4 linked regions of the Diceros bicornis minor genome follow. The protein of the gene in region 3 interacts with the protein of the main gene of each other region in a pairwise test. Links are inferred from orthologs where the notes say so. Each region holds a gene or a part of one and is shown on either strand. Other genes may lie near its edges.

Region 1 (7,736 bases), on a different chromosome or scaffold from region 3:
GGGAAGCCCCTCTCCTTGGGAAATCCCTCCTCTCCTACTTCTTGTTTCCCTCAGAGGCATTGTCTCCCTTCATGTTGCCTTCTTCTCCTGTGGCATTTTCACAATAGACCTTGATAATTTAGAAATTAACTTGTTAATTAAAAACTGAAAATTTAGCACTCCTTGAAAGCAGGGAGAGCTTAACTCCAAATCCTCCATAGCAGTGAGCTATTAAGTTCCTGAGCTAAGGCACCAGCTGGGGCGGCTGGTCGCAGAGGCTGCCTGACATCAACCTGCCAGGTCGTTTTGTACAGTTGGATGTCTTGTGCCTCCTCCATAGTGGACACTTTCTGGTGGGCGTGAACACACGATAGAGATATTAACACCACATGCCCCTTCCCCTAAGTTCAACCACACCATCTCACCCCAGACCTCCTCCTCCCTGATCTTCCGAGCCCCTGTCCTGCCAGCCCAATCACACCACTGTCCGTGTGTTCAATGCACGTTCCTGCCTTGGGCCACCTCTTGTACGTGAAGTGAATGACCAAGTGCACCAGCTGAAACTCTCTCCAGTGGGTTTTGCCTCCCTATTGTCTTTCAGGGCCACCCCTGGGTTGGACTTAAGCCAAATTTTAACAATTCTGTTCTGCAAAGATACTACTAAGTGAATAAAAAGGCAAGCCACAGACTGCAGAAAATACTTACAAATCATGTATCTGGCAAAGGGCTTGTATCAAAAATGTATAAAGAATTTTCAAAACTCAACAATAAAAAAACAAACAGCCCAACAAAAAATGGGAAAAGTTTTAAATAGACACTTCACCATAGAAGATGTTCAGATGGCAAATACATGCATGAAAAGATGCTCAATATAATTTATCATGGAGGAAATGCAAATTAAAATCACAGTGAGGTACACACATTAGAATGGTTCATGAGGATGTAGAGAAACTAAAATGTTATACATTGCTTGTGGGAATGCAAAATGATACAGCCATTTTGGCAGTTTCTTTTAAAGTTAACCATATACTTACTATATGCCCCAACAATGCCATTCCTAGATATTTACCCAAGAAAAAAATGAAGACTTAAATTCACACAAAAACCTATCATTAATAAATAACCTCCCAACCTGGTAGCAACCCAAATGTCCTTCAACTAGTGAATGGATGAGCAAACTCTAATCATCCACACAATAGAATACCATTTAGCAATAAAAAGGTGAACCACTATACAAGCAAGGACATGGAAGCATCTCGAAAGCTTTATGCTATGCAAAAAAATCCAGATTCAAAAGGCTGCATACCACATGATTCCATTTACATGACACCCTGGAAAAGGCAAAAATATAGAAACAGAACACAAATCAGTGGTAGCCAGGGGCCAAGAGTAGAGGGCAGAGTTAGTACAAAGGGGCAGCACAAGGAATTTTGTGGGGAGGTCACAGAACAGTTCTGCATCTCAGTTTTGGTGGTGGTTACGTGACCAAATGCATTTGTCAAAACTTGTAGAACTATATACCAGAAACAATGAATTTTACTGAATTGAATTAATTTTAAAAACTTAATTAAAGATTTCCAGTTAAAAAACAATTGATGTTTGCTGGCAGTAACCAACTATTTGATCTTACCTGAAAACCAGCATCTTTAAATTTTTAGCTATAGAATATAGACCATCTGTTTTAAAATAGCTTTCTCATGATGTCACTTTCTAAAATTTATATGTCTAGAAACATATAGGAGAGAAATTAGACTTGACCTCAAAGGGCCTGTGTGTTAAATCATTTCTTTCCCTTCATACCTGAAAATATAAGTGACAGATATAGAGGAAAATCTCTTTCACTTGTGAAATGTCAGACCCTCCAGCACGAAACCCGCCTGTTATCCAGCTGGGGGCTGGGAAGGTCTCCCCTTCGCTCAGGCCTGACGTTTTTAGCTCCAGCCTTCACAGGGAATGTGTGTTTGTTTGGAGAGGCTCTGGTGTTCAGGACTCTTCTCTCACCCTGGGGAGTGGGTCTGTGGCTTAGGGGAGGGGGCCCGACTTTGTTGTTTGTCTTTAGAACACGTGGTACTGGTGACTTTTTGTCCTCAGCTTGGAAAGCTCCTACTCCGTGCCCTGTTCCTGTACATCAGGAAAGCCTCGCAGAGCAGCAGGACCGCAGGAAGAGGCCCCTCAACGTCCGTGCTGAACACACATACTCGGTGTGGCCAGTTCAGTGTAGCATTTGGCACGGGGTGGGGGGAAGGACAACATATGGAGGAATCCAGGTGCCAGCAGAGCTCCCTCGATATGCTGACAAGGTCCCCAGACTGGATGAGCCCTGAGGAGACGATCATATAACTTGTTTTATACCTGCACAAGATGCTCAAAGTGTGTTTTTGAATACAGGAAATATGTGTTGGGATGGAGAGAGGAGAAATTGAAGGTGACAATGAGCAGCTTATTCAAGGAATGGAGGAGAGACTAAAAGTATAGTGCATTATAGACTGAGAAGCAAATTTCTGAATTCCAGACTTGGAAGTGAAGCAATCCTGTAATTATTCTAGGTTGCTAAAGAGAAACGGAGCTGGAGGTTGCTTGAGTTAAAGGAGCCAAACTGGGAGATTAGGGTATTGACTGGCTGGTGGCACCATTTGTTCATTCATTCATTCAACAAACAATTCTTGATGAGCACTATGTGCCACACACTGAGCCTTGGAGCTACAGCAATGAACAAACATTTTCTGGTAAATCCAGGGATGGTAGCCAGGGGACTTAATAAACAAGAAAGAAAGGCACTGTAAGATCATGATTTTGGAGTTGAGACTGCCTGGGTTTTGAATCCCAGATCCACTTAATAACAATGTGATTTATACATCACTTAACCCATTTGTGCCTCAGTTTCCTCATTTGTCAAATAAAAATACTAACAATGCCTACTTCACAGGGTTGTTGTGATTAATGTGGTAATTACAGATTCAGCGCAGTGCCTGAAACATGGTGAGCACTCAGTAATTGTTAGCTATTAAAAACATAAACAGGTACAAATTTCTAGTTATAAGACAAATAAGTCCTGGGGATGTAATGTACGGCATGGTGACTATAGTTAACAATGCTGCATTGTATATTTGAAAGCTGCTAAGAGAGTAGATCATAAAAGTTCTCATCACAAGAAAAAAATAATTATAACTACGTGTGGTGATGGATGTTAACCAAACATTGTGATCATCATTTTTCACATCTACGTATATCAATTCATTATGTTGTACACTTTAAACTAACACAATGTTGTATGTCAATTCTATCTCAATTTTAAAAGGTAAACAAATACATGTTAATGCCAGGTAGTGAAAAGTGCTATAAAGAAAAATAATTCAGAATGGGATACAGCGTGGTGGTAGGGCTATTTTAGATCAGGTGTTGAGGGATGGTCTCTCTGAGGAGGTGACTTATGAACAGGGACTTGAGAGGTGAGAAAGAACAAGACTGCAGCAGTCTGTGAGAGGACCATCTCAGGTGGCAGAAACAAAGGCCCTGGGGCGGGGAAGAGCTTCACCGCCTAGGAAACGTGGTGGAGAAAAAGATGCTGAGGGCAACTGGGAGCCAATCTCTAGCCCGATGTGCTTGGAAAACAGGCCACCTGTGGGGCTCTGATCACCTCTGGTAGGTGTCCTGGGGGGGGTATGTGAGGGGTCGCTGTGGCAAACTGAAAGCTTTAGAGATGGGGAAACAAGATTAACGGCATGTTATATGTAAAATGCTACTATTCAAGTTAGCAAATACAGCTCCACAGTCCCTCATCTTTTAAAAAAACAAAGCAATACAATGCCTATGACTGTATATATTTACATCCCATTACGGCCTGGAGTAAATGAATAAATATTGACACTAACGGGCACATATAAAGACCACAAATAGCCTCATGAGAGTTTAGTTGAGATTTTGCCTCCAAATGAGGCAGGGCGGGTTTTGTTGCCGGAGTGTTACAAAAACCTTTGGGCTTTCAGTGCTCTCTGAATTTTGGATTTCCACATAAAAGACTGTGACCCTAGAATAATTTCCTCCCAAGGGCCATTTGTAGGGTCAGCGCTCTGGGGAGCAACACGCAGAAGACAGAATAAAAACTCAAACGGAAAAATCTGTATAATTCTGCCTTAGCAGCTGTTTCTGAAACATTTCATATTTGCTAAGTATAAACTCCGGTTCAGAGGTTCTACTTGGGATGCTCCTCTCTCAGGTGCGGACGGAACAGCGCACCTGCAGGATTTTCGCGGGGAGGAAAGGAGGGGCGGCAGGAGCCCCGGGTTCGGCCAGAGGCGGCCCAGGCTCCGAGGGGACGGTACAAAGCTAGACGGTCCTGGCGACCAGGACGAGCTCGGACGAGGAAGAAACCGCGCCAGCTTTCCCTGCAGGCAGCACCTTTTGTTTCTCGGTGAACACGGCTGGGAGCAGGAGAGGCGGTGAGCCTCGGTGTCTCTGTGCTGTCTTCAGAGCACACGGACACACGGCGTCTGCGCTCCGCGGCACCAGACATCAGATGGCTGCAGACGGACGCAGCAGCGCCAACCTGGACGACGCCCCTTCCGCGCGGCGTTCATCACGCGCTCCGCCCGCCCCCGCCCGGCCTCCGCGGGCGCTCAGCCGCCAGGGGGCGCTGCGCCGGCCCGGGAGCGGCGCTCTCTCCCGCGCCGCCGCGGCCTCACATCCGGGTCTAGGGCCGCTGTCAGCCGGCGCGCGGCGGCCGGCGGGCGCGTCAATGGCGGCGGCGGGAGGCGGAGCGGCGGCGGCGCGCGGCCCCGAGCCCCCGAGCCTGTAGCCCCGAGCCACCAGCTTTCCGGGAGGCGCTGCGCCCCGGTGCGGACGGAGGGGAAGGGCGGGAGCCGGGAGGCTCGAACCCGCGGCGCCGGGAGCCCGCCCTCCGCGCCGCGCCCCCCGCCCCCGACCGCCGAGCGGGCTGCGGGCCTCCGGCGGCGGCCTCCCGGGCCTGCGCGGCCGCGGCCTCACCATGGAGGGCCTGACGCTGAGCGACGCGGAGCAGAAGTACTACGCGGACCTCTTCTCCTACTGCGACATCGACAGCACCAAGAAGGTGGCGGCCAACGGGCGCGTGCTGGAGCTGTTCCGGGCCGCGCAGCTGCCGCACGACGTGGTGCTCCAGGTGCGGCCGGGGGCCGGGGGGCCGGTCCAGGTGCGGGCGAAGGGTGGGGAGAGCAGGTCCAGGTGCGGCCGGGGGTCGGGGTGCCGGTCCAGGTGCGGCCAGGAGGCAAGGGAACAGTCTAGGTGCGGGCGACCGGTGGGCGGAGCAGGTCCAGGTGCGGCCGGGAGGCGGGGGGCCGGTCCAGGTGCGGGCGAGGGGTAGGGGGAGCAGGTCCAGGTGCGGCCGGGGGACGGGGGGCCGGTTCGGGTGCGGGCGAGGGGTGGGGGGAGCAGGTCCAGGTGCGGCCGGGGGGCGGTGCCGGTCCAGGTGCGGGCGAGGGGTGGGGGGAGCAGGTCCAGGTTGCGGCCGGGAGGCGGGGGGCCAGTCCCCGGGCTCCGCGCGGGGAACGCAGGTGCCGGGCGGCCGGGTCGCGCCGAGCCGCGATCAGAGGGTCTCTCTCGCGGGACAAAAGTCTTGAGTGAAAATGGGGATCCTGTCTCTCTCGGCTGCCCTCCGAGTCTCTTCTTCAGCACGGGGAGAGCCACTTCAGATGGAGGATCTGGAGTTGTTACCGTATTTTTGGGTCCTAGGTCCTGGTACTACATACATAGCTCTTCGAATCCTGCAGGGTAGTGAGGTTATCAGTATAGGTAAATGTTTTTAAGGCTTGAGTTAACCGAGTAGACGCCGTAAAGTGGGTTTTATAGATTTAGGAATCGTAGAAGCAGTTTTTTTAAGGAAGCTAAATTTTAGAGAGATTAAAAAATTTGAATTTCTAGCTAGTAGTTTGCAAGTAGATATGAAAAGAACTTGTAATTAACTGTGGAAGGTGTGGCTGATGTAAACTGGACAGTTTTTCGATTGGCGTTCGATAACATTGGGTGGAACCTGTGGATTTGGGCTGGGAGATAAGTAACGAATAGCTGGAAGTCAAACGTGCACCTTCGCCTGGGTCTGTAGCACTAGAGGAGCAAGCAGAGTAAGTTGTAAGCTTTTTGTGTCACATCGGTTTTTAAAATAGAAGGCTTCCTAGAAGTTCTTATCTAATATATGTGGTGAGCGTTAATGTGACTGTTTAATGTTAATGCTAGTAAGAGTCGGTCTAAACAGCGTATCAGGAACAGGTTTGAAGCGTTCATCTTTGTTACTATCCAAACCTCCAAAACTTAAAACCATATGCACAGGTATGATGTAGTGCACTGCAGAGAGCGCTGAATCAGGAGTTTTGATCCCACTCTGTGGTTAACTAGTGTGACTTTAAGCTAGGCACATAAGTGTGCTTGCTCATCCTTAGAATGAGAGTCAAGTTCCTTCTAACAAAAGTTGTGTGAAGCACAAAAATATCCGCCCAGGTCTCTGTCTTAAAAGTTACCTGTGCATTAACTCTAAGTCAAATGAGTTCCACCTTTCGCATAATCTCATGTTTGGTATTGCTTGTTTAAAATCTTGGGAGGAAAAGTTGGATGTCTTACAAACCAACAGCTAGGAGTCTCAAATTCATGCTGCTGAAAAGGGACAGAGAGTAAATGTTTTAGGCTTTGCTGGCCACGTACAGTCTCTGTTGACAGTTCTTTGTTTTTACAACACTTTAAAAATTTAAAAACCATTTTTAGCTCAGGGGCATACAAAAGAGGGCCTGTAGTTTGCTGACCCCTGCTAAAGAACGGTGGTGGCAGTATGGGGGTGCTACACTCTCCTCATATGGCTTTGGAGTCAGACTCGCAGAAAGAGGTCTGGTCAGAACATGCTCATTAATGATACTGCTCTTTCTGTAGAAATAACAAAACATACCTTCAAGTCATTTAGGAACTAAAATTAAGGAGAAACTTTCATGTTCTATTTTGGTTTATGTCTTTGGGGTGGGGGGGAGCTGAAATAAACTGACTTTCCTATTTTTAATGGTGCACGAAGACTTTAGGACTTTAAATGTATTATTTAGGAATAGACAAATTAGCATTACTTAACCTTTGCTTGAAATTTGTTTACTCGAACCCAAGTTATTTTTATGTTTTGCTCAACTTTATTGACATTCAAAAATAAATTTCTATGGCTTTTTTGTATAAAGAGAGAGCTTAAATAGCATAAATATTCAGGATTCAGTTACAAGGTGGAAGCTGTAGGAACTCCCTGAAGCAGAACTCTTACAGTAATTAATATATACTAAATAGCATTCTGGGTATCCTGAAGGCAATTTACTTAAAAATTGGCCTAAGACATAGAATATGAGACAAAAGGGGAATATGGACTTAGTTATCTTAAGGAAGTTTGAGATTGTCTGAAAACATAGCCCTTTTGCTTTCTAAGTGGGAAACATTTGGGGCAACTCATACATAATGTTTACTTAGCACTGGGCTACTATGAAGGACTTGGTGATCTGCAGGAATGCAGGTGTGTAACATAAAGCAGAACAGGAATGCCCTAAGAGAGGCACACAGGAGGAATGATCAGGAAAGGCTTCTTAATTCAGATGGACTTTCAGTTAGTGTGGGGGGAGGGCAGTGGAATGAAGAGGACTTCTAGGCAGAGAAAAAATGTGACCAAAGGTGGAAAGGGTAGGTGCCTTTTCAAGGACTAGCAGAAGGTCAAGTTTTGCTGAAGCTGGAGTATGTTTTGGGGATAATGGAACATAGGGTTGGAAAGA
Region 2 (6,964 bases), on a different chromosome or scaffold from region 3:
GTTCGTCCATGTAAAAGGAGAGGCCGTCCCACCAAAGCCCCCACAACAGCCTAAAGTCCAAAGAGGACGTGGGCAGAGAAGGAGCCCGGGTAGCGCGTGGAGGTGAGGGCTGGACACGAGGGGAGGCGGGCAAATCGTGGCAGGGTCCACTTTACAGGCACAACCACTGTGAGCGAACACGCAGCCCGGGAATCCCCACACACGTGCACACGCATGTACACACGGGAGGCGGCACCAGGGAGCTTTCAAACGGATGGAACGACCATTCCCGAACAGGCCGGAGACACCCTTCCCCATTCGCCGTCCCTCTGCCGGCCCCTCACCAGCGGCTACCACTCCGGGTATCTGTTAAAACAAGTCGGTCTAACCGGCTTTGGGGGATCACAACGCACGGACGTTTACTTCCCCACACCCACCGGGGGGAAGTTCCTGCTTTGGCCTTGGCAAATCTGGATCCAAAATTAACCGAGCCGGGTCTGGCTCCTCCCTGGCAGGCGGCCTGCAGGCAGGCGCCTTACAAAGAGGGCGAACCCAGGCCCCCCTGCCCTCCTCCGGCACAGCTGACTTGCAGAGAAGAAAGACATTTCCCACCGGGGGAAAAGTCTGTTCGGGCCACTATCCCCCGGGGCCCAAACCCCCACGTCTGGAAATCTGTTTCCATCTGCTGTTAAGCAACCACAGCGTCTCAAAGGAAAAGTGTGAACTTGGGTGGAAAACTCTGGAAAAGCTAAGCCACGCAGGAGCTAGAGTAGAGAGGAACTTCCACCTCAAACCGGGTAAGTGCCGAGACCTCTCCGTGACCTGTGTGGCTGGACTAATTACCAATGTTATCAGGCGGATGACAGACATGCCCCGAACTTCCTCCGTTTGACAGATTCTGCTGCAAACACCCTCAAGTTCAGGCCCATGCCTACTGCTCACAGGACCGCCCTATTCTTCCACAAGACCGCTCCTGGCCCCCCAACTCCTCAGAGCTGGCACATGCCTCCAAGTTCAGCCAGGCCAACATACCCACCAAGTGCCAGACCAGGGGGGGCACCTCCTGCTGGAACGCACGGCTCAGAATCAGTGCAAACTCCTCCCCAGCAGAGGAACAGAAAACAACGTCTCTTCCTTCCCTGTGCAGATTTCAGAGCAGGAGATGAGAACTGCTGCTTACCTTCATAGCCGCTGCCACTGGGGAGCTCCAGCCCATGGGTCCCTGGCGGGTAAGTCCTTGGCCAGCACACACCAGGGTCCCGCACTCCACGCAGGCGCCAATGATCAGCTGCCGCCCGTCGTCCACCAGCAGGCTGTGGCTGGCTCGCAGGGTGTAGAGAAACAAGGGTAGCCGGGCAACCCGCACGGCCTTCAGCCCAAGACATCGCTTCTTCTCCTGCTGGCAGAAGAAGCACACAAACGTCTCCACCTGGTACTGCCGAGACCAGGCGCTGATGGTGTGGTGGGCACCGCGGGCCTCGTGCTGCAGCCACTGGCCCAGCAGGTCGTGGTAGCAGAGCACACAGGTGGACACCAGGCCGGTGGAGTCGGCAGGCCTAGCGCGCGGGGCGGGCGGGTAAACAGTGAGGAAGGGGAAGAAGGGCTCCTTCTCGCCCAAGCGGCTGGAGGGGTTCACGTTGAGCTGGAACTCCCTCCCGGGGCCCAGCTCAGCCCCGCAGATGTAGCAGACGGACGCCGGGCCGCCCTGGACCGACGCGGGTGGCTCGGAGACGGCAGGGTCCCAGGCGGAGAAGGCCTGGTGGTACCGGCCCAGGAAGCCTTGCACCGAGGTAATGAGCTCCTCGTTCTGGCAGGCCCGGTACAGGGCCCAGACATCCTCCAGGACGCTGAAGCACTTGGGGCAGCTGCGCACCTCGCAGCGCTTGTTGGGGCCCCGGGCGTTGGGGGGGCAGGGCAGGAGGCTGAGGAAGGGGAAATGCATGGAGCCCCTGGCGTTGCCGTTGAGGATCCTGGAGGCCACTGCCCGGGCATCCTGGGTACAGTCCTCCCCGCAGAGGTAGCAGGCCTCTGGCAGGGCCCCAGCCGGCAGGCCCTCTTCCCTCGGGAGCCTCCTGCCCTTGGAGGCCATGCCGGGGGCGTGGCTGTTCAGGGGCACCACGTACAGTCGCTGCAGGACAGGCACGCGGGCCAGCTCGAAGCTCTGCCACTGCTGCATGAGGGAGGAGAAGCAGCATGAGCACACCAGGGTGCTGCCACCCTCGCTGATGGGCTGCGCCCCGGGGGGCGGGCTGTGCAGCCACAGGAAGGGGAAGAAGGGGGCCTGGGCCAGCCTCTCCTGCTTCTGCACGTGGATCTGGTGCTGCGAGGCTGGGGACAGCGTCGACCCGCAGATGTAGCAGCAAAGGCCCTCTGGTGGTGCAGGCCGGCCCTCCAGGGGAGCCCGGGGGACGCGGCCACCACCGTTCTCCGTCTCTTTGGGGCCGCAGGAGCCCGGGAGAGGCTGCTCCCTGCCGTCCTCTTCCTCGCTCGTGACGTTGATGTCACTGTCATCAGACACGCAGCAGCCTCCTCGGGGCTCCCCCAGGGGCCTGCCCTCGGGAGTCTTGGCGGCCCTGCCCGACGGGGCTCCTTTCATGCTATCTGCAGGGGCCACCCGGACTGGAGGGTCTTGCCAAGGGTCCTGGATGCCCCTCAGGACGCTGGCTCGGGCCTCAGGGACCCAGTGCCTCCCAGCGCCCTTCCGCCGGCGCCGAATGCCGGTCTTGGGCTCCCCGTCCACGTGTAGCTTCGAGGGGACCCCCTCCTCCTCCGCGTCCCCCTGCGCGGGGGTCTCCGCGCCCTGTCCCGGAGGGGGTACCGGCGCCGGCCTCCACTCCTGGCAGCGGCCCCCGAGAGGCCCCGGCCCCGGGGTGGCCCGCGCCGCCGGCGCCCCGCCCTGGTGGGGACTGGCGGCGTCACGCGCGGTCGGGTCGGGCTCCGAGAGGGGGTCGGTGTCCGATAGCTCGGACAGCTCGGAGTCTCGAGTCTCCTCGGCGGCCGCGCGGGGCCCGGGGACGCCGCCACCGTCGTCGTCGTCGCCGGCCGCGCCGCCCAGCGCGTAGGCGACGTTCCACTCGCGGGGGGCCCCTGCGCCCCCGCGGCGCCCGCCCGCGCCCGCGTCGCACTGGTGGGGCCGCTTGAGCCAGTACATGCGCTTGTCCACGGGCGTGCGGGCGCGCTCGAAGGCCGCCCACTGCTCGCCCAGGAAGCAGCGGCACACGGCGCACACCAGCACGCAGCCGTCGGCCGGGGACAGCTCGCGCGCGCCGGGCGCCGGCTCCTGCTGCTGCAGGAACGGGAAGAAGGGCTGCGCCGGGGCCCCTGCGCCCGCCGCCGCCGCCGCCGGCTGCTTCACCTGCAGCTTCAGCTCCTTGCCGCGCCCGATGCCGCCGCCGCAGATGAAGCAGGAGAGCGGCGCGCCGCCGCCGCCCGCCGCCCGCTCGCCCACGGCTGCCATGAGCCGCTGCTTGCGGGAGACCAGCGCCGGCCGCCCGCTCATGGCCGCGCCGCGCCGCCCGCGCGCCCCGGGCCGCCCTCACCGCCCGCCCGCGCCGCCGCCGCCGCCGCCGCGCCCAACTTGGAGCATGTGTGCGCGCCGCAAAGTTTGGCGGCGGCCGGCCGGCGCGGGCGCGGGCGCACGGTCGCTAGCAGGGGCGCCCCCCCGGCCTGCCGAGCCCCCGGCGGCGCCGCGGCGAGCGCGCCCGGAACGCAGCGGCGGCGGCGGGCCCCGGGCGGCTGGAGCGGCGGCCGCATGTGCGAGCTCCGGCGCCTGCCAAAGCGTTGGGTCATTTAATTGGGGAGGAGGGAGGCGGGGCGCGGGCGGCGCGCGGGAGGAGGGGGAGGAGACGGGGCGGGAGGCGGGAGCACGCGGGCGGGGGAATCCCTCCCTCGCGCGCCCTGCTCGCCGCCCGCCCTCCTCCTCCTCCCCCCCTCCTCCTCCCCCCCTCCTCCTCCCCCCTCCTCCTTCCCCCCTCCTCCTCCCCCCCTCCTCCTCCCCCCTCCCCCCGCGTCCCAAACTGCGCACAATGGCTCGCCGGCTCTTCTATCTATTTTGTGTCCAGCCGGGAGCCGCGCTCGATGATTCATTGCCCCAATTAGGGCCTCTCTCCAGCGCGGCCGGCTCGAGCCGTCTGAAGGGTCTCCTCGGGGACCCGCGGAACCCATCAGCGGCTAGAGCTGCTCTTTAAGTAAAGGGCAAGCAGGACGCGGGAGGAGCCAGGTAAGGACGTGGCCGGCGCCCCCCGGAGACAGAGGAGCCGGCGAGGAGCTCTCCGAGGGGCGGCCTCGGTCCAGGAGTAGGCAGGCACCCTGTCGATTTCGGTCGAGTTGCTCCGGCCCCCTCCCCCTTCTAAAGGGGGGACCGAATGAGGAGCAGTTGCAGCCCTGAGCTGCCTTGGGTTGGGGGCACTTTTCAGGGTCCAGTGGTCTGATTTTGGAGACAGAGGGAAGAGGAGCTGTCCCCCGTCTCCTGGAACACATTGGTGAATGCACCATCCGGGGGGGCAGAGGCCTCAGCCTCCACACCCCTCCTGGCTGCTGGCAGAGACGGAAGGGATCCTGTGTGTGCCAGGCTCTGTGTTCCAGGGCAAGTGACTCGACGACTCTGGGCCCTTTCCTCCTCTTGTTAAACAGGAGTTCTGGCAGGAGATTAACAGTTTCCACATATTTATTGTTTATGTGTATACATACGCTGTATTTATTGAACACAGAGAGAGACCTTAGCATGTGCCAGGTGCTATTCTAAGCACTTTATATATACTCGGGGTTAAGCGCTGTGATCAGCCCATTTCACAGATGAGGAAGAGGAGGTGCTGAGGGTTGTTACTTTTCGAGAGTGGAGGAGCTAGGATTCAGACCCAGGCAGCCAGCTCTAGGCGCCTGCTCTCAACCCCCTGGCTGTGCAGCCTCACTACGCAAACATCTGGCCCCCGTCACTCCATCTGCCCATGGAGACTCTCCAGGGCAGGGGACATGGCCAGGATCCCTCCGTCCTTCCTGCTGCTCTGGCTCAGGCTGGGAGGCCTTGGGGGAATCCAGGCATCTCTGGGCCTCACATTTCCCATCTGTGAAATGCCACCCCTCCCAGCTTCAAACTTCTATGAGTCTGTGATTTCTGAGCAGTTGACAGCTGTCCCGACTTGCCAGCTGGAGCCCAGAGTCAGCCTGGGGACAAAGGTGCCAGGTGGGCCCCTCTACCCTCTGGGGCATTGATGTATAAATAAAACTAGGCTTCCTCTGGCCCGGAGGAGGGCCGTCATTATAAATAAACGGAACAAGAGAAAGGGGCCACCTCTCTGGAACCCCTGGTGGAATTCCAGGGGTCACAGTCCAGGGGTTAACAGCAAAGTCATCACCATCATCACCAGAAACTCGGGGACTGCGGGCCCTCACCCAGGCCCAGAAAAAAGCTGTGTCAGCAAAACTATCTGGAAGGAATGTTGGGGGCAGGGCGAGGGGGTTTCCCTGCTTCTGGCATTTTTAATACCTGGTGAGAGAGGGGCTGATTAGGGAGCCTTTACAGGGTGAGGTCTGGGTAACTGTGTCCAGCAGAGCTATCAAGCCCACACAGACCACGAGGCGGCTGCTAACGTGAAGCCGGCTCAGGAAATGCAGGGCGGCCTTGGGGTTGCGTGGGGCTCCCTTGAGGCTTGGCACATGCCGTTCCTTCTGCTTCACGTGCCTTTCCAGGCTCTCTTTGTGAAGCCAACTCTGGCTCATCTTTATGGTCTTGGCTACAATGTCTTCCCCCAGAGGATTCCCTGCCTTCTCCATCTCAAGCAGGTTCTCCTTGTTATTCTCTGTCTCTGTTCATTGGCATAGGAATTTGTCATTGCTTTTATTTATTTTTCTGTCGACTGTTCCCTGTCTGCCTCCCCAGGAGCCTGGGTGCTCCCTCCCCCTGGGCAGGACCCAGGTCTATCTTGCTCACTGTGTGTATCCAGGGCCTGGCTTAGTCCCTGGGTCCCACACTGCTGGGTCCCAGTGCTGTGCCGTCCCTCTCTAGCTGTGGGCGCCTTGGGCAAACCTCTTAGTTCCCTGAGCTTCAGGTTCCTGCTCTGTACAATGGGGTCATGGTCCTCATCGGATTTGTTTGTGTGCATCAAATGAGGCAGAGAGAGGGCGATGCTCTGGGCACAGGGCCTGGCACGCTGGAGGTGACAGTGTGTGTGTGTGTGTGTGTGTGTGTGTGTGTGTGTGTAGACCCTGCCTGGCTCTGTCCAGTGGCTGAGGAGGTTCTGCTATGCCTGTCTGCACTGCGAGTGGAGGCGGGCACTGTGATGAGGTCCCACCAGAGTCTAAAGGAGGAGAGCCACAGCGGTCGACAGGACAAAAGGGGGGAGTGGAGTTCTCTTGCTTAAGCTGGGGTCATCCTTGAGGATTCCCTGAGTATGTGCCACGTGTGTGGAGGTGTGTGTGTGCATGTGTGGGTGTGTGTAGATATTCGTGTTTGTGTGTGCATGTGTGTATGCATCTGTTACCGTGTACGTGTGTGTGCGTGTGCCGGTTGTGTACCTGTGTGCATGCATTCATGTGCACATGTGTACATGTGTTCACGTGTGTGCATATAAAGTGGGCTGGGACCCGGGGGAGAGAGGCTTCCAGCTGGATGTTTTGTTTCCCTCAATGACCCGGTGACTCAGGAAAGTCCCCTGGCACACTTCTCGGGAGCCAGGAAGCAGGTGAGCACCGACCAGAGGAGGAGGAAGACAGGGGAAGATGGTTGGTTATCTGTGGGTGGATGACATAGGAATGGGGCCGCTGGTGCAGATTCACATCACAGTTCTGCCAGTTACTAGCTGTGTGGCCTTGGCCTGCTATTTAACCTCTCTGAGCCTCAGTTTCCCATCTGTAAAACAGGACTCACAAAACCCCATAGAGCTGGGGAGGATGAACTGAGACGACCCAGGTGAAGCACACCCTCTGGACACAGAAATGACAGCAGTGTTTGTGCACGTCGGCTGAATGTTAGTTGCACACAGGAACC
Region 3 (7,881 bases):
CAGCTACCCCCTATAATATAGCCGATGACTCTCCTATCAAGACCTCTGTGTTGTACTCCAAACCCCACACCAACTCTGTAGTAGATGTTTCCACCCGGATGTTCCACAGATAACTCCCACTCAATATACCCACAAGCTAAAATACTGTTCCTCCTCAAATTTGCTCCTCTTCCTGAATTCCCAGTCTCAGTGTACTTTCCTTTGTCTATTCAATCACCCAAGTTAATATCCAAGTCATCTTATCCTACCATTTCTCCCTCACTCCCCACATCCAATTGTTACTAAATCCTATGAATTCTACCTTCTAAATATTTGTGCTATTAACTTACTCCTCTGGATCTCCACTGACACTGCCTTAGTTTAGACCCTTGCCTCTCACCTCAATTTTTACAAAAACTTCCTAAGCAGTCTTTCTGCATCCTGTGTTATCTGCCCTCCTTCCCTTCTGTAATCTATACCCTATAATACTGGAGTGATCTTTCTAAAATGAAAACCTTACCATGTGTCTTTCCTGATTAAAATCCATAAACTCTATTATCTATAGAAAAAAACCTCTAAAACCCTTAGAATGGCATGCAATACTTCTGCTACTTACCACCATAACCCCAACGCTACGGCTATAGAGAACAACTTCCCATTCTTAAAAGTGTTCCATACTCTCTCTCATCATGCCCAACTTTCCCTCTGCCTTACGTGCCTTTCCCCCACTTTCTGCCTCAGTCATGCCTAAGCTTTCTTTAAGTTTAAGGACATAAAGTATAAGGAATCTAATATAGTACCTGACACACGACAGGGAGTTAAAAATGGGTCGAGCTGGCTCAGGTCTCTCTTCTTTATCCTCTCTCACTGGCTCCTATTTGCTTACGAGATAAAGCTGAAATTACTTCGACTGTATACAAGACATAATTTGGTCTCTGCCTACCTCCCCAGTTTCATGTCTTGCCACCACCCTATACCCTCAGGAGCTGCACTTGCAGATCCTACAATTCACTCTGTAAGTTTAGATGCCAGTGTAAGTTTGCTCACACTGTTCCTTCTACCTAAATGCCCATCCCTTCCATTCCTATATACACTTACTGTTTTCATCACGTCCTATTATAGTTTGTCCTTACCACTGCCCCTTTCCTCAATCTCCTCTTCCCTCAAGAAACTGACCACTACTGCCTTTGTATACCCACTGTACTCCCATACTTTCTCCAATCAAAGCAATCCTAAAAACGTATTGTAGTTGTTGACAGTTCAAGTAACAAAGTCTTACCACCCTGAAGGCATCTTTAAGTCCTGTTCACCTGGCACAGTACCTGCAACACAGTAATTCCTCTCTACCAAACGATCTGCATTTTTCCTTACTCCCTCCACAAATACTAACATAAGCTTCTATCAGGGATTTTCTTTCAAAAAAGAACAAACATACTTTCAGGTTACGTTCTGGGCCCAATCTCTCCTTACAAAGCAAACAACTGTGCAAACATAACTGTACAAATTAAAGTTAATATGCATTTTCTAATACCATTTCTATTTTCTAAATTAGGGGAGAAATGGTCCCTGAAAGGTCTAAAATGAGAAATAATGTCTTCAAAAGATAGCAAATGAGGTTATGGCACATTGCTTCAAGATACTTTGTTTAAAGAATTACTTCTCAACAGTTACTGTTAAACTAGCCTACACCACTTGGAGTACGGGTCACTCTGAAAAGTGGGAACCACTCTACTAACTTCCTTCCTACCCCTACTACTGCCAATACAGCTTACCGGCATTATTCATTTTCAAGAAGAAACACAGAAATGAATTATCAAATCACCAAGACAGTTTGAAAGGCTAAAGTGAGGTTATCTTTCTCATCCAGAGTCCCATTTATTCATTAGAAGTGCTGTCTCCGTGATCACCAAACCAAAAGTGGGCCTGTCCCTTATCACCATTTAAATATTTTGTGAATAACTGCCAAGTATGATGGAATGCTACCCAAAGTGCTGCAGCATTGAACATGCCCACTGCACTAAACAAAACATTCAGGGAAAGCTCTTCCAATGAGGCCAGATGGTGTGTTAACTCAATGTCCAAACGACTGTACTTCTTTTCAGGCACATTCAAAATATCTCGAATTAACATTTTAATTACCTTAAAGAACTCCACTAGGCCTTAGAGGAAACATGTTGCTTGCTCAAGAGGGAGGCTCTGTAGGAATGAATCCCAAAACTTGAAACAGCCTGACTTCAGGTAAGACTGAGGTGTGGAATATTTTGTAAAACCTGTTTTACCCTTACAACGATTAAAAAAAAACAAAAAAAACAAAAAAACCCTGACCTCAATAAGAGCATTTTGGTACAAGTATACTTGAAAATGAGTTGTGAAACGAATTCTCAACTCCAGATCTGTCCGTCCATTCGCACTGAAACCTGAACTAAAGATCGCAGCACCCAAAGGAGCCCCACTGTTCCACGCCAGCGAGCGCTGGGCAACATCAAGCGCCTTCTCCTAGTCCACTGGGCAAGCACTGGACACGGGTCAACATTCCGGGTGCGACTGGAAAATAGTACGGTTACATAAAAGACGGAGTCCCTCTCCTCCGTTCCGGTGCGCCCAAGCGCTGCCCTGAGGCCTGCAGACTCGGGGTGGAGGGCTCGGTTCCTGACCCTCCTCCTCCAGCCCCCGAGAGCACCGAATCGCAGATGCGATGCCATGAGGGGGACCCGGCCGGCAAGTGGGAGGCACGGACGGCAGAAGAGCGAGCACCGGGGAGAGAGCTGCCCGGCAGGAACCCGCACTAGGGGCAGCCACGCCCCCCACCCCAACTCCAGCCCCGCGCGCCGCGAGCTCCCAGCCCCGCACGCTGCCTGACAGCCGCGGCCGCGGAGAGGGCTGCCCCGGCACGCGAGGGGCATCCCGCGACCCCCGCACACCGCCGCAGCCCGTCACCGACCTGTGCCTGCAGCAGCGCGACCGCCCGCCCCCGCCGCAGCCGCCGCCTCCTCGCGCTCACGCTGCCGCCGCAGCCACCCTAGCCGCCTCCTGCGCTGCGCCCCCGACCGGCCTGGGGCGCCCCATTCCCACCCCGCCCCAGCCTCCGCCTGTTTACAATGATTGGGACGGAACAGAACGAGCCGGCCCAGCACGCACGCGCATTCCCTCCTCCCGCCGCGGTCGGCTTCCCGGGTCCTCCTCTCGGCGCTGACGGCCATGGCCCGCAAGGGCAACGCCCCGTGCCCTCGCGCGGAGCACACTGGGAGGCGTAGTTCTCGGAAACCCAGCGCCAGTCTACGGGAACGCCCTTTGTCCAGAAAGTGCACTACAATACCCAGGAGGCACCGCGCCTCCCTCGGCCCCAAGTGCTCTCTGAGGAGACTGAGGAAGCGCGCCACAGAACGCGCCGCCAGTGCTTTACGAGCGCCTGCGCAGTTCCTGGTCTTGGGGGGCTGGGTGGGACGTAGGTCTAGCCTGAGTGAAATATCGCTGAAGATGGTTTGGGGGCGGTTCCTGCGGTGGTCTTGAGAAAGAAAAGAGCTTTCCTTTCCATGCTCGGGCCAGCCTGTTCGTCAGTTGCCGAAGTTCAGACCTTTTGTGCCAGCGGGTTTCAGTCGTCCTAACCAGTTAAACCAGCCTAGGAGGCCGGACCAGCTTGCTGCTGGGTGGGGCATCCTCCTGGCCGAGTACTGGGTGGGGAGTCTTTTGCTTGTGGTGGGGATTCCTTCTTTGAGGAGGGAGGGGAAGCGCCTTGGGCCTCTGAGTACGGGCTAGTATAAAACTGTGTGCTGGGACAGCCTCAAAATTCCTAAAATGGGTGTTGACGAGGGCCCGCTTTGGTTCTTGCGGTACGGCGGGACTGCTGTCTTCCATCCCCTCTTTGGCTCAACACTTACAAAGCAACACCTGAATTAGAACTGCCTGGGCGCATGTTTAGCTTGCAAATAGAACTGAATCACGAGGAAGACTGGAAATAACTGGATTTCCTCCAGAAATCCTTCACAAAGGCTTGAAGAATTGTTCTGCTAATGCATGGCTGGAAATCAGGGGTCTTTTGAAGTGTTCTTGTTTTATAAAATTTGTCCAGTTATTACGGGAAATACAATTTGGGATAGATGGTCCTTCCCATCGCTTCCATTCCTAGTGCAATACTATCTTTAGAACTTCATTAGCTATTTAGATTGACCTCTGCGATCCATCCTGCACTGTACCTCCCAGATCAGCTTTCCTTACATTTGACAATAGGCCGTTCCCTTGTACTCTGCATTTCCTACCCAGTAAAGTTCAGCCCCCTCAGCCTGGCATTCAGGAGCCTGCCACAATTAGATACCAAGATGGTGTGTGGTAGCCATTGTTTTCTGACTGCTTGATAAGCTTGCTTATTGCCCTTCTGGCAACAGAACAGTGACCTCGGACCACTGGGCTGGGCGTGTTCCCGTGCCAGTTACAATACACTTTGCCTCTGGCAACACTAATTGGGCTAACAGATAGGCACTGATCCAAGTTGGGGCGTTATTGAGCCCTTGCTTAAAATGCTATATGGACACAGAGCAGGGAGGGAAGAAAGGTGTTTACTGAGATAGCTGCTGATTGCCATGTTCTTCACAATATAAAGAGGGCTGTCTACATTAGGAATGAATGAAGCCAAAGGGGGTAGTCGGGTGGGGCGGGAATGGAAAGGGAGAGAAACCAAGAGATGGCAGCGTGAAGACTGGTTTCAGTTTCAGAAACCTTGAGTTTTGTATAGCTTTTCTATAAGTGCTTGGAGTCTGTGAGCCTAGCTGGGTGAGCCAATACATTTATTTATTTATTATTTAGGGCTAATTTGTGTGGTTATAGAACATATTTGTTGGTTCTCTCCTAAGCATTCATTCTTCCCATTAACCCATGCAGCATAATCCTTCTCTCTGGTAGCTGAGAGTTTCAGAGATGGTCATAGAACCCATTCAGAACCAATGAGCCCCACAGAGACTTGAGTTGGGGTTTCTAGTAAACAGCAGCATCCTTACTCTTCTAGTATGGCATAAGTATGTGAGGTCTGGAAATGTGGCAATCTTTTGGCTCCTACAAGGAGAAAGCCTGAAAGGATAGGGTTTAGGGGAAAGGCACCAGTAGAGCCTGAAGATGAAGTCAATGCTGTCAAATGAGTTCTGGAAAGGAGAACCTTGTGTTTGATGGCATCATTAGAGCTGTGCTATCAAACCTCACCTGTTTGACCCATCCTATAGACTGTTTACAATTGTGAGCCATAAATTTCCTGTATTGTTTATGCCAGTTTGTATTGGGAGTTTTCTGTGACTCAAAATTCTAAAAGTCCTAACTAATTCAGTTGGATTTTTTTACATGACATTGAAAGATCCTAACTAATACAAGTTCCTACTTAAAAAGAAACTATGGAAGAGACTTTCAGCTATGGCTATGTGACATGGTCAACAATTCCTCTGCACACAATACAAGTATAAAACTGGACAAAATTGTCAAAAACTACCGTTTCAAGGCACTGGAAATCAAACAGAGACAACAATTTGAGAAACATCTATTCTTGAAAAACTGCTAGAAGTTCCAGTAGGAACAGTAGATATCCATGATGTTCTTGCCGGCTTCAATCCTTCTCTGTTGCCCCATAACTATAGTTTTACCAATGTGGGTGGGGCTGGCTAAGAAAACTAGCAGCTTTGCTACCAGAGAGGATGGACTCAATTTGTGGTGAGAGGTAAAAAACCCATGGCTTTACCGGCTGGACGGACTGTAAAATGATGCATCTGCTATGGAAGACACTATGATCGTTCCTCCAAATATTAAAAATAGAATTACAATTTGATCCAGCAATTCCACTCCTGAGTATATACCCAAAAGAATTGAAATCAGGCACTCAAAGAGATATTTGTACATCCATGTTTGTAGCAGCATTATTCACAATAGCTAAAAGGTGGAAGTAACCCAAGTGGCCACTAATGGATGAAAGGGTAAATAAAATGTGGTATATACATATAGTGAAATATTATTCAGCCTTAAAAACAAAAGAAATTCTAACTCACGTAAAACAAAAATCATGAAAACTAAAGGGAGAAATTGATAATTCAGTTATGGGTGGAGATTTCAAATTCCTGTCTCAGCAGTTGATAGAACAAGACAGAAAGTCAACAAGGGTGTAGAAGACCTGAATTACACTGTCAACCAACTTGAAATATTTGACATAATGTAGGAAACTCCATCCAACAACAGAATAAACATTCTTTTCAAGCACAAATGAAACATTGTCCAGAATAGATCATACAATAGGCAGCAAAACAAGTCTCTGTAAATTTTAAAAATATTGAAAACATACAATATGTTCTCCTTCCACAATGGAATTAAATTAGAAATCAACAACAGAAAGGAATCTGAGAAATCCCCAAATATTTGGAAATTAAACAACGCATTTCTAAACAATCCATGGGGCAAAGAAGAAATCACAATGAAAATTAGACAATATCTGAAACTGAATGAAAACAAAAATACAACATATCAAATTTAAGGGAAGCCGCTAAAGCTGTGCTTAGAGGGAAATTAATAGCATTAAATACTAATATTAGAAGGAAGACAATAATCTAAGCTTTCACTTCAAGAAGGTAGCAAAAGTGGAGTGAATCAAACCTAAATTAAGTAGAAGTAAGGAAATAGTGATCAAAATAGAAATCAATGAATTAAAAACAAGAAAATAGAGAAAAGGACCCAAAAGCTGGTTCTCTGAAAAGATTGAATTGATAAACCTTTAACTAGACTGACTAATAAAAAGAGAAGACACAAATTACCAAAATGAGAAATGAAAAAAGGGACAACGCGATAGACCTTACAGAAATGAAAAGGAATATTATGAACATCATAATTCCAATAATTTTAAAAATAGATGAAAATGGAGGCATTCCTAGAGAGAGAGCAAGTTACCAAAACTAACTCAAGAAAAAAATACAAAATTTAAATAGACATATATCAGAGTAAAAAACTTGAATCGGTAAATACCAATCTTCTCACAAAGAGCCCAGGTCTGAATGTCTTCACTGGTGAGTTCTATCAAATATTTTAAGGAAGACAAGAAAACTAAGCCTATTAATAACACTGTTTTAGAAAATAGAGAAGGAGCACTTCCCAATTCATTTTATAAGGCCAATATCACCCAGGGACCAAAACCCAGGACACCACAAGAAAATGGAAGTATAGACTGATATCCTTCATGAGTTATACACTTTAAAACGGTTGGTTTTATGGTATGTGAATTATATCTCAATAATGCTGTTATTTTTTTTAAAGATATGGGAATTGAATAAAATATTCTAAAAACAACCCCACCCTTGGATAAACAGAGTAAAAGGATCCAATGCCTGTTGCCTCTATTCTTTGGACTGGCACCTGAAGTTTGATCCCTAAACTGTTCACTGGGTCAAAGCACTATTACATAATTGAAATGTCCTATTTTTATATATTTAAAAGATATGATATTTAGAGCTCATTACAAAAACAAGTGGCAGAACTGTATGAGTTTAGCTTTGCTCTTTGTGACAATTCACCACACAACTTAGTGGCTTTAAACTATTCCGCTGTTCATGCAGTTGTAGTCAGTTTGTGGGTTAGGTGGGGGTTGGGCTCATCTGCGGCAGTTGGGATGGCTGAGCTTCTTTCTTTAATGGTCTCATCTCTCAAAAGCCTAGCCTGCATCCTTAGTGCACAAGCACTTTTCAAGTGTTTGTGTGTCATTTACTGATGTCACATTGGGCAAAGGCGTATCACACGCCAAGCCCCAGATTTAAGGGATGGAGAAATAGATTCCTCCACTAGATGGGAAGCACTGAACAGAATTTGTGGCCATTTATTTGCAATCTATGACAAGAACTCTTGACTCTCCTTTGCTCCTGAAGGAATGATTCTATATCCTCCAAAGAC
Region 4 (7,951 bases), on a different chromosome or scaffold from region 3:
GTCCCAACCAAGTGCTGGGCCCACTTTTCTTTCACCAGAGACACAGTAGTGAAAAGACAAATTTCCTGCCTCATGAAGCTTATATTCTATTGGGGAAAACAGATAATATATAAATACATAAAAATGTAACACATAAGCATTATAACAAAAATTTTTAAATGAAGCAAAATAAGAGGATAGAGCAACAGGAGGAAAGGTATCCCTCTCCAAAGAGATCACATTTAAGTAGAGACATGAAGTAAGGGAGGGAGACATAAGAACGTCTGAAAAAGGGAAAAGCTGGGGGGTGGGGAGGGGACGGGACAGGACACACGATGACCATGGATGGGACGACAAATCCAGCATGCTGGAGACAACCCCAAAACTCACTTTACTGTACGTAGAGAGTTGATCCTTTAGGCTCTGACAATGCAACATGGTTCCAAGGGCTACTTGCTGGACCAACTGCTGAAATCTTAAATTTCTGGAAACAAAATCTGTCTCACAGTTTACCTGTGGGAAGAAATTGATGTTGCTGTATAAGCTGTTTACTGATAGTTTCCAAAAGTGCCTTCAAGTTGGAGAATAAACCAAGGTATTGATAGAACAAGCTACAGACTCAACAAAACAGAAATAATTGACTCTAGAATTTTTTAGCTGCAGTTCCTCTTGTAGCTTGAGGCCAGAAACTGAGTGAAGTGATTCCTGCTCTGCCAGTGAGTTGGCAATGACCCGCACATTCAGAAGATGTTTCCACAACGTCTCCAAGGGACTCACTATCGGTTCACCACTTGCCTGCAGCTGCACGCCAAAATCACCTCCAACCCCAAACCACTTTTGCTGTCAGCTTATCTCCTTCTCTCACTCTAAACGAATCCACATCTGAGTCGTTACCAATTGTGGTCCCTAACCCCTCTAAAACAGCTACCAGCTATCTATCAACTAATTAATATAATTCCTAGCTTTAAAATCTGACTGTTCCGGGGCCAGCCTGGTGGCGCAAGCGGTTAAGCGCACGCGCTCCGCTTCAGTGGCCCGGGGTTCGCAGGTTCGGATCCTGGGCACACACTGATGCACCGCTTGTCAAGCCATGTTGTGGCGGCGTCTCATATAAAGTAGAGGAAGATGGGCACGGGTGTTCGCTCAGGGCCAACCTTCCTCAAGAAAAAAAAAGGGGGAAGACTGGCATCAGATGTTAGCTCAGGGCTAGTCCTCCTCACAAAAAAAAAAACAAAAAACAAAAAACTGACTGTTCCAGGAAACAATCAATGATAAGGTGTATGGCTACACTAGACTCACATTTAGGAGTAATATTCTAGACTGCTAGACCTTTTCTCATCAACACACCTGTGCATTTCTATACCTAAATGAATCCACAGCTAATAACTGTGGTCACATGGGTTTCATTCCAACTGCCTTTTTTTTTTTTTTTTTTGGTGAGGAAAACTAGCTCTGAGCTAACATTCGATGCCAATCCTCCTCTTTTTGCTGAGAAAGATTGGCCCTGGGCTAACATCCGTGCCCATCTTCCTCTACTTTATATGGGATGCTGCCACAGCATGGCTTGACAAGCGGTGCATCGGTGCGCACCCAGGATCCGAACCTGCGAACCCCGGGCCGCCGAAGGGGAGCACGTTCACTTAACCACTGCGCAACCGGGCCGGCCCCCCAACTGCCTTTTATGGTTCTCAAACACCTCTTAAGAATGCAAAGGCTCTACCACAAAGCCTTGCACCCAAGGGACAGCTGCTCTTGGTATCAGGAATTCTGACAACTCACCTCTACTAACACCGACGTGTTTCCTTCCTGCAGCAGCCCAATCAGCCCTTCTTTAGTCTTTCTCCCATGGAGCTTGGCAGCTTTGCTCCAGCCCTCCTTCTGGGCCTGCTTATGGAGCCAGCTCTCTGCCTAGAAATTGAAAAGAAAAACGGCAGAATTTAAAACTGAATGGGGCTCTAAAATATGTTCAGATTCCCTAATTCTTCCTGCTTCCCCTCAATCCTATAACAGAAACTAAAGTAATCTATCATTTACTGGCAGCCTACCACTAAAGCCAAACACCAAACACTGTGCCTGCTGCTTTGGATAAGCTTAATCTTCACAACAACTCTATGGGGCAGATAGTAGTATTTTCATCATATAGACAAGAACAATGCAACTCTGAAAGATTAAGTAATGTTATCCAAGGTCATAGGGTTAGTGTGAGGGCACCATGATTTGAGTCCTGATCCATCTGACTCCAAAACTAATACAAGCCCTTTCAGCTCCAAGCACCAGGAAACAGCCCAGCAGTCTTGCATGAAATAGGGTTTATGAATCCTGGGAACTTGAGTCAACTGCTTCCAAATAAGACAGACTCAAAGGGTGAGGTTGTCACTTATGTCCGAATCCTATCTAGGGCTCTGCCGTTATGGGTCATTCGGCAGCAGGTCTGACTTCTATGCTCCCCAGCTACCTCCCTAAGAGACTGAGGTCGGGCCCTAGTACCGGCCCTGCTCCCCACCACCCCAACCTGTTTGAGATCTCCGCCACAAGTCTCCAGAGCTTTCTTGCAGTTTACAAAGGAGTAGCCCGTTTTTCGCCGCAGCTTCATGAGCAGCTCCTTGCTGGAGGCCGAGGATGACAGCCAGGACCCGGCGTGAAATGAGTGCCATGGCTGGGGCGACCGAAGCAAAAGGGGCTCCGCCTGGAAGGGGTAAGAAGACAGGGATGAGAAGCAGGCAGCTGCGAAAAGCCCCAGGGGTGGAGAGCACGCGGGCAGGTGGGCGACCTTAGAAGAGCCAGGAGCTCAAGGAAGGGGGCTGGACCGCGCAGAGGCAATGAAGTCGGGGCAAGGGAGGGATGGAGTCGAACGGGGGTTGGAGGAAGGGAAGCGTGCGTCCCAGGGGCCCAGGAGACCTGCAAGAAAGGCAGGTCGGTGCCGGGACGAAGACCCCTCCCCGGGCAGCGCCGGGGCCGCACGACGAGGCAGACGCTCAGCGCTCGCAGCAGCGACATCTCCTTGGCCGCTGTACACCGCAGCCGGCCGGCGCCCCGGTGACGTCACAGGCCGACGGCGTGGCGGCGGGGCCAAACCTCTTCCCCGGACGCGCCAGACGAGCGTGGCGCCACCTGCTGGCCGGAGGGGCACACTCACCTCCCCTACTTGGCTTATTGAGACTACGTGTCACAAGGAATTACCCCCATAGGTAAAATAACGCCAACCATGCGACAAAGTTGTCACAAAATAACAGTCCAAGACATGTGGTAACATTTTATGCTTCTTTATTTCCAATGCCCTTTCATATTCATCATCCATTTATGACTCATGACAAACTTGTGAGGTGGGAGGGGGGCGGTTCAGAAATTTGGCTAAGGAGGCCTGAGGAGGTAGGGGTGGAGTCCCTTCCACAAACCCAGTAAATATTTGCTGAATGAGCAAAATATTTGTTGCCCGTCAGCTGCGTGCCAGGAACTGTACTAGCCTTCAGGGGCTCAGGGAGGAGTAAACCACAGCCCTACCCTCCAGGGTAATCTAATGGTGAGAAAATAGGGAGCCAACAAATGACACACAAGACGAGGTAAGTCCCATAAGATGAACAAATAGTTAAAAGGTCTCAAGGGAGAAGGAAATCACATCCAAACAGGAGGCTCAGGAAAAGCTCTTTCCAGGAAAGAGGCTGAGAGTAATGAAGATTCTGACAGGGAGAAACAGCCCTTCCAGGCAGGGAATCATCAAAAAGAAGGAAGGAAGGAAGAAGTCAGAGGATCTTGGTACAGATTAGGGAACAGAGAGTAGACCTTCTGTAATTTGGCCAGAGGTTGCAACACATGTAGACACCAGCAGGCAATGAAGTCAAGGGTAATCTGGGTCACATGGGAGAGACTGAGACCAACCAGAGGAGCGTCTTTCTTCTGTAGGCAGCAGAACCTAATCACAGCTGATTCTGGAAGATCACAAGAGTTTGCAGTGTGGCTTGAAGGGAGAGAATGGAGGCCAGGAGGCCAGAGGAAGGTGATATGTGGCCCAAGGAGTACGTAAAGACAGCCCCAACCACAGGAACCACAGTGGGAAGGGAAAAGAGGGGAGGGCAAAAAACACTAAGAAGGAAGGACTGACAGGGCTTGGAAACCTAAAGAAAAATCAAAGAGGAGGAGAACCCAGTACTTAGTGATTAGGGCTTCAACTCTGAAAAGAGTGGAGAAGCTACAGTCCAAAGGAGAGCTCTGCTGCCGATCCCCAGTTCAGGGCTGGGAGGACGTGACCCAGTTAAAGCCATGGTCCCAGCAGACTCTATCTCAAGAAGCAAGAAGTGGGTGGTCTGAGGTTTCTTCTTCCCACCCCACAGCAAAAGTCTGAGTTCTTTGGATGCAGGAAAGATCTTTAATGCTCATTTCTTTCCCTTTAAAAAAATTCCATTAGAATCTGGTAAAAAAAAAAATCCATTCTGTATAAAAAGACAACAGCAGGACTGGAAGGGATCACTGACAGTCTCTGCAGCCACTGCTCTCACATCCATTTGCCTCCCCTACCCCTAAAAATCCTGGATACCCTCCTGTCTTCCTCCTCTGAGAACAGGAGCTGGGAACTTCCTTTGTGCTCTACCCCAGTGCTGTGAGGGCTCTAGGATTCTTAGCAAGCAGGCGCCTCCCTAAGAATATCTGGGGAAACAGAGAGGGAAGGAGGAAAGAGAGAGGCAAGGGAAATCCATACTTTTGATCCTGTTTATGGCTTTGAAGATATGGCAGTTTCTTCCTTAGGACAGGGGCTCAGAGGAGCAGAAGGGTGACGTCAAGCAGGTCTTGGTTCCCTGTGTCTGGCCCTATAGATGTTGACATTCTCATCCTCATCCCGCTGGGCCAGCTCCAGGTGGAAATGCTGGGGCAGGAGGTGCTGAAAGAAGCTCTCCGTCCTGTGCTCCTCTCTCATCTTGGAGGCCAGATAGATGGTGCCCTGGGGCCCGCACAGGTGTTGGAGGGTGCCCAGCAGCAGTGGAAAGGTGGGCTCCAGGTACACGATATCAGCCCCCAGCACCAGGTCATAGTCTCCAGGGAAGACATGCTGGTCAATCCCCCAGGACAAGGCGCGGACCTGGGCCCGGCCTCCAGTCGGCACATTGGCCTGGACGTTGGCCTGGATCTGCTCTAGGACCAGGGGCAGGTCAGTGATGGTAACATCCCCCCCTGAGAGAGAGGAAGGAGGAAAAATGCAAGTCAGAGGGACCAGCCACGGGGTCTCGGCTCCAGAGACCTCAGGGCCTAGAGGACAATGTCTTGACAGCCCGAAGCCCACAGTCTGGCTTTTAGTCACCCTAACCTCCATCTCCCCCACCACCGTTCTCATTACTCTACATTCTACAACATCAACATTCTCTCTGAGCTAATTTTCAACCTCTCGGCCCAACACACAACAATCATATGTCAGCAGAAGCCTGGGCAGGACTGAGCTGGAGGTGGGCTGTGCCCCCACCCCCTACTGACACAGACCAGCCTTCACAGGTCTGGAAAGCTTCCCAGGAGACATGACCTCGGCTCAGCCTTAAGGACAAGTACGAGTTAGTCAGGTGGAGCTTTCCAAATAGAGAACAGAGTACAAAGGCCTGGTGGTGAGAGCATGGTGTATTTGAGGAAGGCTGGATCTTAGAGGATGTGGAAGGGAGGAGAAAAGTGTCACGACATGAGAGTAAAGAGGAAGATCATTATGACATGCTAAGGAGATTCAGGCTTGATCGTGAGGGCAATAGTAAGGGTAGAAGCAGAGGGTGAAGATGATCAGATGAGCACTTAGAAAGCTTCATTCATGCAATAAATATATGTATTGAGCACCTACCAAGTTCTAGGAGTACAGTGGTGAGCAAGACAAAGCCTCGGCCTTCCTTGAGTTTTATTATAGAGGTAGAGACACACTAGGTACTGCAAAACGATTTAATCATAGTCACGACGACCATCATAGACACAGGAAGTACTAAGAATTCATTCATTCATTCATATTTGTTATGTGCCTATATGCCAGGTGCGGAGAATACGGCAGTGAACCAGACAGACAGGAATCCCTCTACTCATGGGGCTTACAGTCTAGTGGCAAGAAATGGACAAAAAACCCCAAACAAATAAAATACACTGTACATCAGATGGTAATAAGTGCTATGGTGAACGGTTAAGCAGGGAAGGATAAGAAGTGCCTGAAGGGCGGGGCAGGGAATGTAATTTTAAACTGGGCGGTTAGGGAAAACCTCACTGAGCAGATGATGTTTGGACAAAGACCTGAAGGAAGTGATGGAGCAAACCACGTGGATCTCTCAGGCTAAAATGTACCAAATGAGGGACTAGCAAGTGCAAAGATCCTGAGGCAGGAGTGTGCCTGGCAGGTCTGAGGAACAGCAGGAAGGCCAATGGCTGCAGCAGAGGAAGTGAGGGGGATAAAGTAGGGGCCAGATCCTAACCAGGGCCTTGTAAGGAGACTGTGAGAAAACCAGCTTTTAGTCTGGGATGGGAAGCTATTGGAGAATTTTAAATGGAAGAATGGCATAAACTGACTTATGCTCTAAAAGGATCACTCTGGCTGCTGTGACGAGAAAAGACTGCAGAAGGGCAAGGTCAGAAGCAAGGAGATCAGTTAGGAGGCGGCTGCAGTGACCCAGGCGAGAGATGATGGTGGTCTGAACCAGGGCAGAAGCAATGTCTAAGAAGTGTTCGGATCTTGATTAATTTTGAAGGCAGAGTCAATGTGATTTGCTGACAGATGGGATATAAACTATTAGAAAGAGAAAGAAGTCGAGGATGGCTCCAAGATGTTTGGCCTGACCACCTGGAAGACCAGATTGCCATTCATTTAGATGAAGAAGGCTGCAGGAGCAGGATTGAACAGGAAGATCATGAGTTCGTTTCTGGACACTTTACCTGTGAGATGTTCATCGGACAATCGCGTGAAGATATGGAGTAGGCAAGAGGCTACCCAAACAAGTCTGGAGAGAGAAATGGGAGAGCTACCGAGTCATCAGCCTATGCACTTAAAGGGCATTTAAAGCCAGGAGGTGATGGACTGCTTGGGAGTGAGTGTAGACAGAAAAGGGAAGAGCCCTGGGGCACTCAGATTCTCAGTTGTGAAGATGAAAAGGAACTTACAAAGGAGAATGGGAAAGAGAGCCAATGAGCTGGGCAGAAAGCAGAAGTGGTGCCCTGGAAACCAAAGGAAGTGTTTCGAGGAGGAGGGAGTGTCACATGCTGCCAAGTCAATTTAGGTGGGCTTATAACTGACCCCTGAACTTAACATGGAGCTGGAGACGAGGCTCACAACCTTGACTAGAGCAATGGCGTGGAGGGGCCACGGCAGGCGGTGGAGGTGGGGGTCTGGAATGGATTGAGGAAAGAATAGGAAGAGAGGAACTACAGACAGTGAGTATTAACTCTTTTGAGTTTTGTTGTAAAGCAGAGCAGAGAAATGGGGTGGTAACTGGAGGAATATGTAGATCAAGAGTTTCTTCTGAGACAGGAGAAATTATAGCATAATTATATGCTTATTTATACATATATATTATATATACACACATACATATATATGTGGAATGATCCAGAGAAAAGAAAAAACTGATAACACAGGAGAGACTTGGTGGGGGGTCGTTTGCTGGAACAACATCTCTAAGAGGTGAGAAGGTTCGGGGTCTCGTGACAAGTGGAGGGCTTGACCTTAGCTAGGACATGGCATGTTCACCCATGGTAACAGGAGAGAAGGCAGCTCATACAGACAGTTAGGTGAGCAGACGCTGTGATGGGAACATGTGGACATTTTCTGTGAGAAAAGAGAAGAGACAGAAAGAGACAGGAAACAAAGTCATCAGCTGAGGGTGAAGATAGGTGGGCTGGCAGCTGGAGGTTTGAAGGGCAAGAGGGTAAGACACACGTTTAGGAGGGCGGAAGAATGAGTGGAGGAGGGGAGGGTAATAGGCTTGCTAGGCAGCGCGCTTAAGGGCACACCTGAGGTAGTGACACAAAT

Evidence for each region.
Region 1: the proteins of RALBP1 (region 3) and REPS1 interact in binary tests that used the Homo sapiens proteins (3 or more experiments, as listed by UniProt). The link is inferred for Diceros bicornis minor from reciprocal best matches to the Homo sapiens genes RALBP1 and REPS1.
Region 2: the proteins of RALBP1 (region 3) and GSE1 interact in binary tests that used the Homo sapiens proteins (3 or more experiments, as listed by UniProt). The link is inferred for Diceros bicornis minor from reciprocal best matches to the Homo sapiens genes RALBP1 and GSE1.
Region 4: the proteins of RALBP1 (region 3) and TSFM interact in binary tests that used the Homo sapiens proteins (3 or more experiments, as listed by UniProt). The two-hybrid records come from large-scale screens. The link is inferred for Diceros bicornis minor from reciprocal best matches to the Homo sapiens genes RALBP1 and TSFM.

What each region holds. Positions count from the first base shown.
Region 1 is NC_080762.1:23,086-30,821, forward strand, and holds the start of REPS1 (ralBP1-associated Eps domain-containing protein 1), read left to right. Parts: upstream 1-4,727; 5' UTR 4,728-4,963; coding exon 4,964-5,116; intron 5,117-7,736. UniProt on the Homo sapiens protein: May coordinate the cellular actions of activated EGF receptors and Ral-GTPases.
Region 2 is NC_080771.1:34,077,636-34,084,599, reverse strand, and holds the start of GSE1 (genetic suppressor element 1), read right to left. Parts: upstream 3,001-6,964; 5' UTR 2,576-3,000; coding exon 1,160-2,575; intron 1-1,159.
Region 3 is NC_080755.1:7,477,733-7,485,613, reverse strand, and holds the start of RALBP1 (ralA-binding protein 1), read right to left. Parts: upstream 3,003-7,881; 5' UTR 2,921-3,002; intron 2,674-2,920; exon of another isoform or gene 2,119-2,673; intron 1-2,118. UniProt on the Homo sapiens protein: Multifunctional protein that functions as a downstream effector of RALA and RALB. As a GTPase-activating protein/GAP can inactivate CDC42 and RAC1 by stimulating their GTPase activity.
Region 4 is NC_080756.1:11,214,075-11,222,025, forward strand, and holds the start of TSFM (elongation factor Ts, mitochondrial), read right to left. Parts: upstream 3,005-7,951; 5' UTR 2,977-3,004; coding exon 2,878-2,976; intron 2,666-2,877; coding exon 2,492-2,665; intron 1,888-2,491; coding exon 1,759-1,887; intron 493-1,758; coding exon 370-492; intron 1-369. Other genes in the region: EEF1AKMT3 (EEF1A lysine methyltransferase 3), read right to left, coding at 4,751-5,142. UniProt on the Homo sapiens protein: Associates with the EF-Tu.GDP complex and induces the exchange of GDP to GTP. It remains bound to the aminoacyl-tRNA.EF-Tu.GTP complex up to the GTP hydrolysis stage on the ribosome.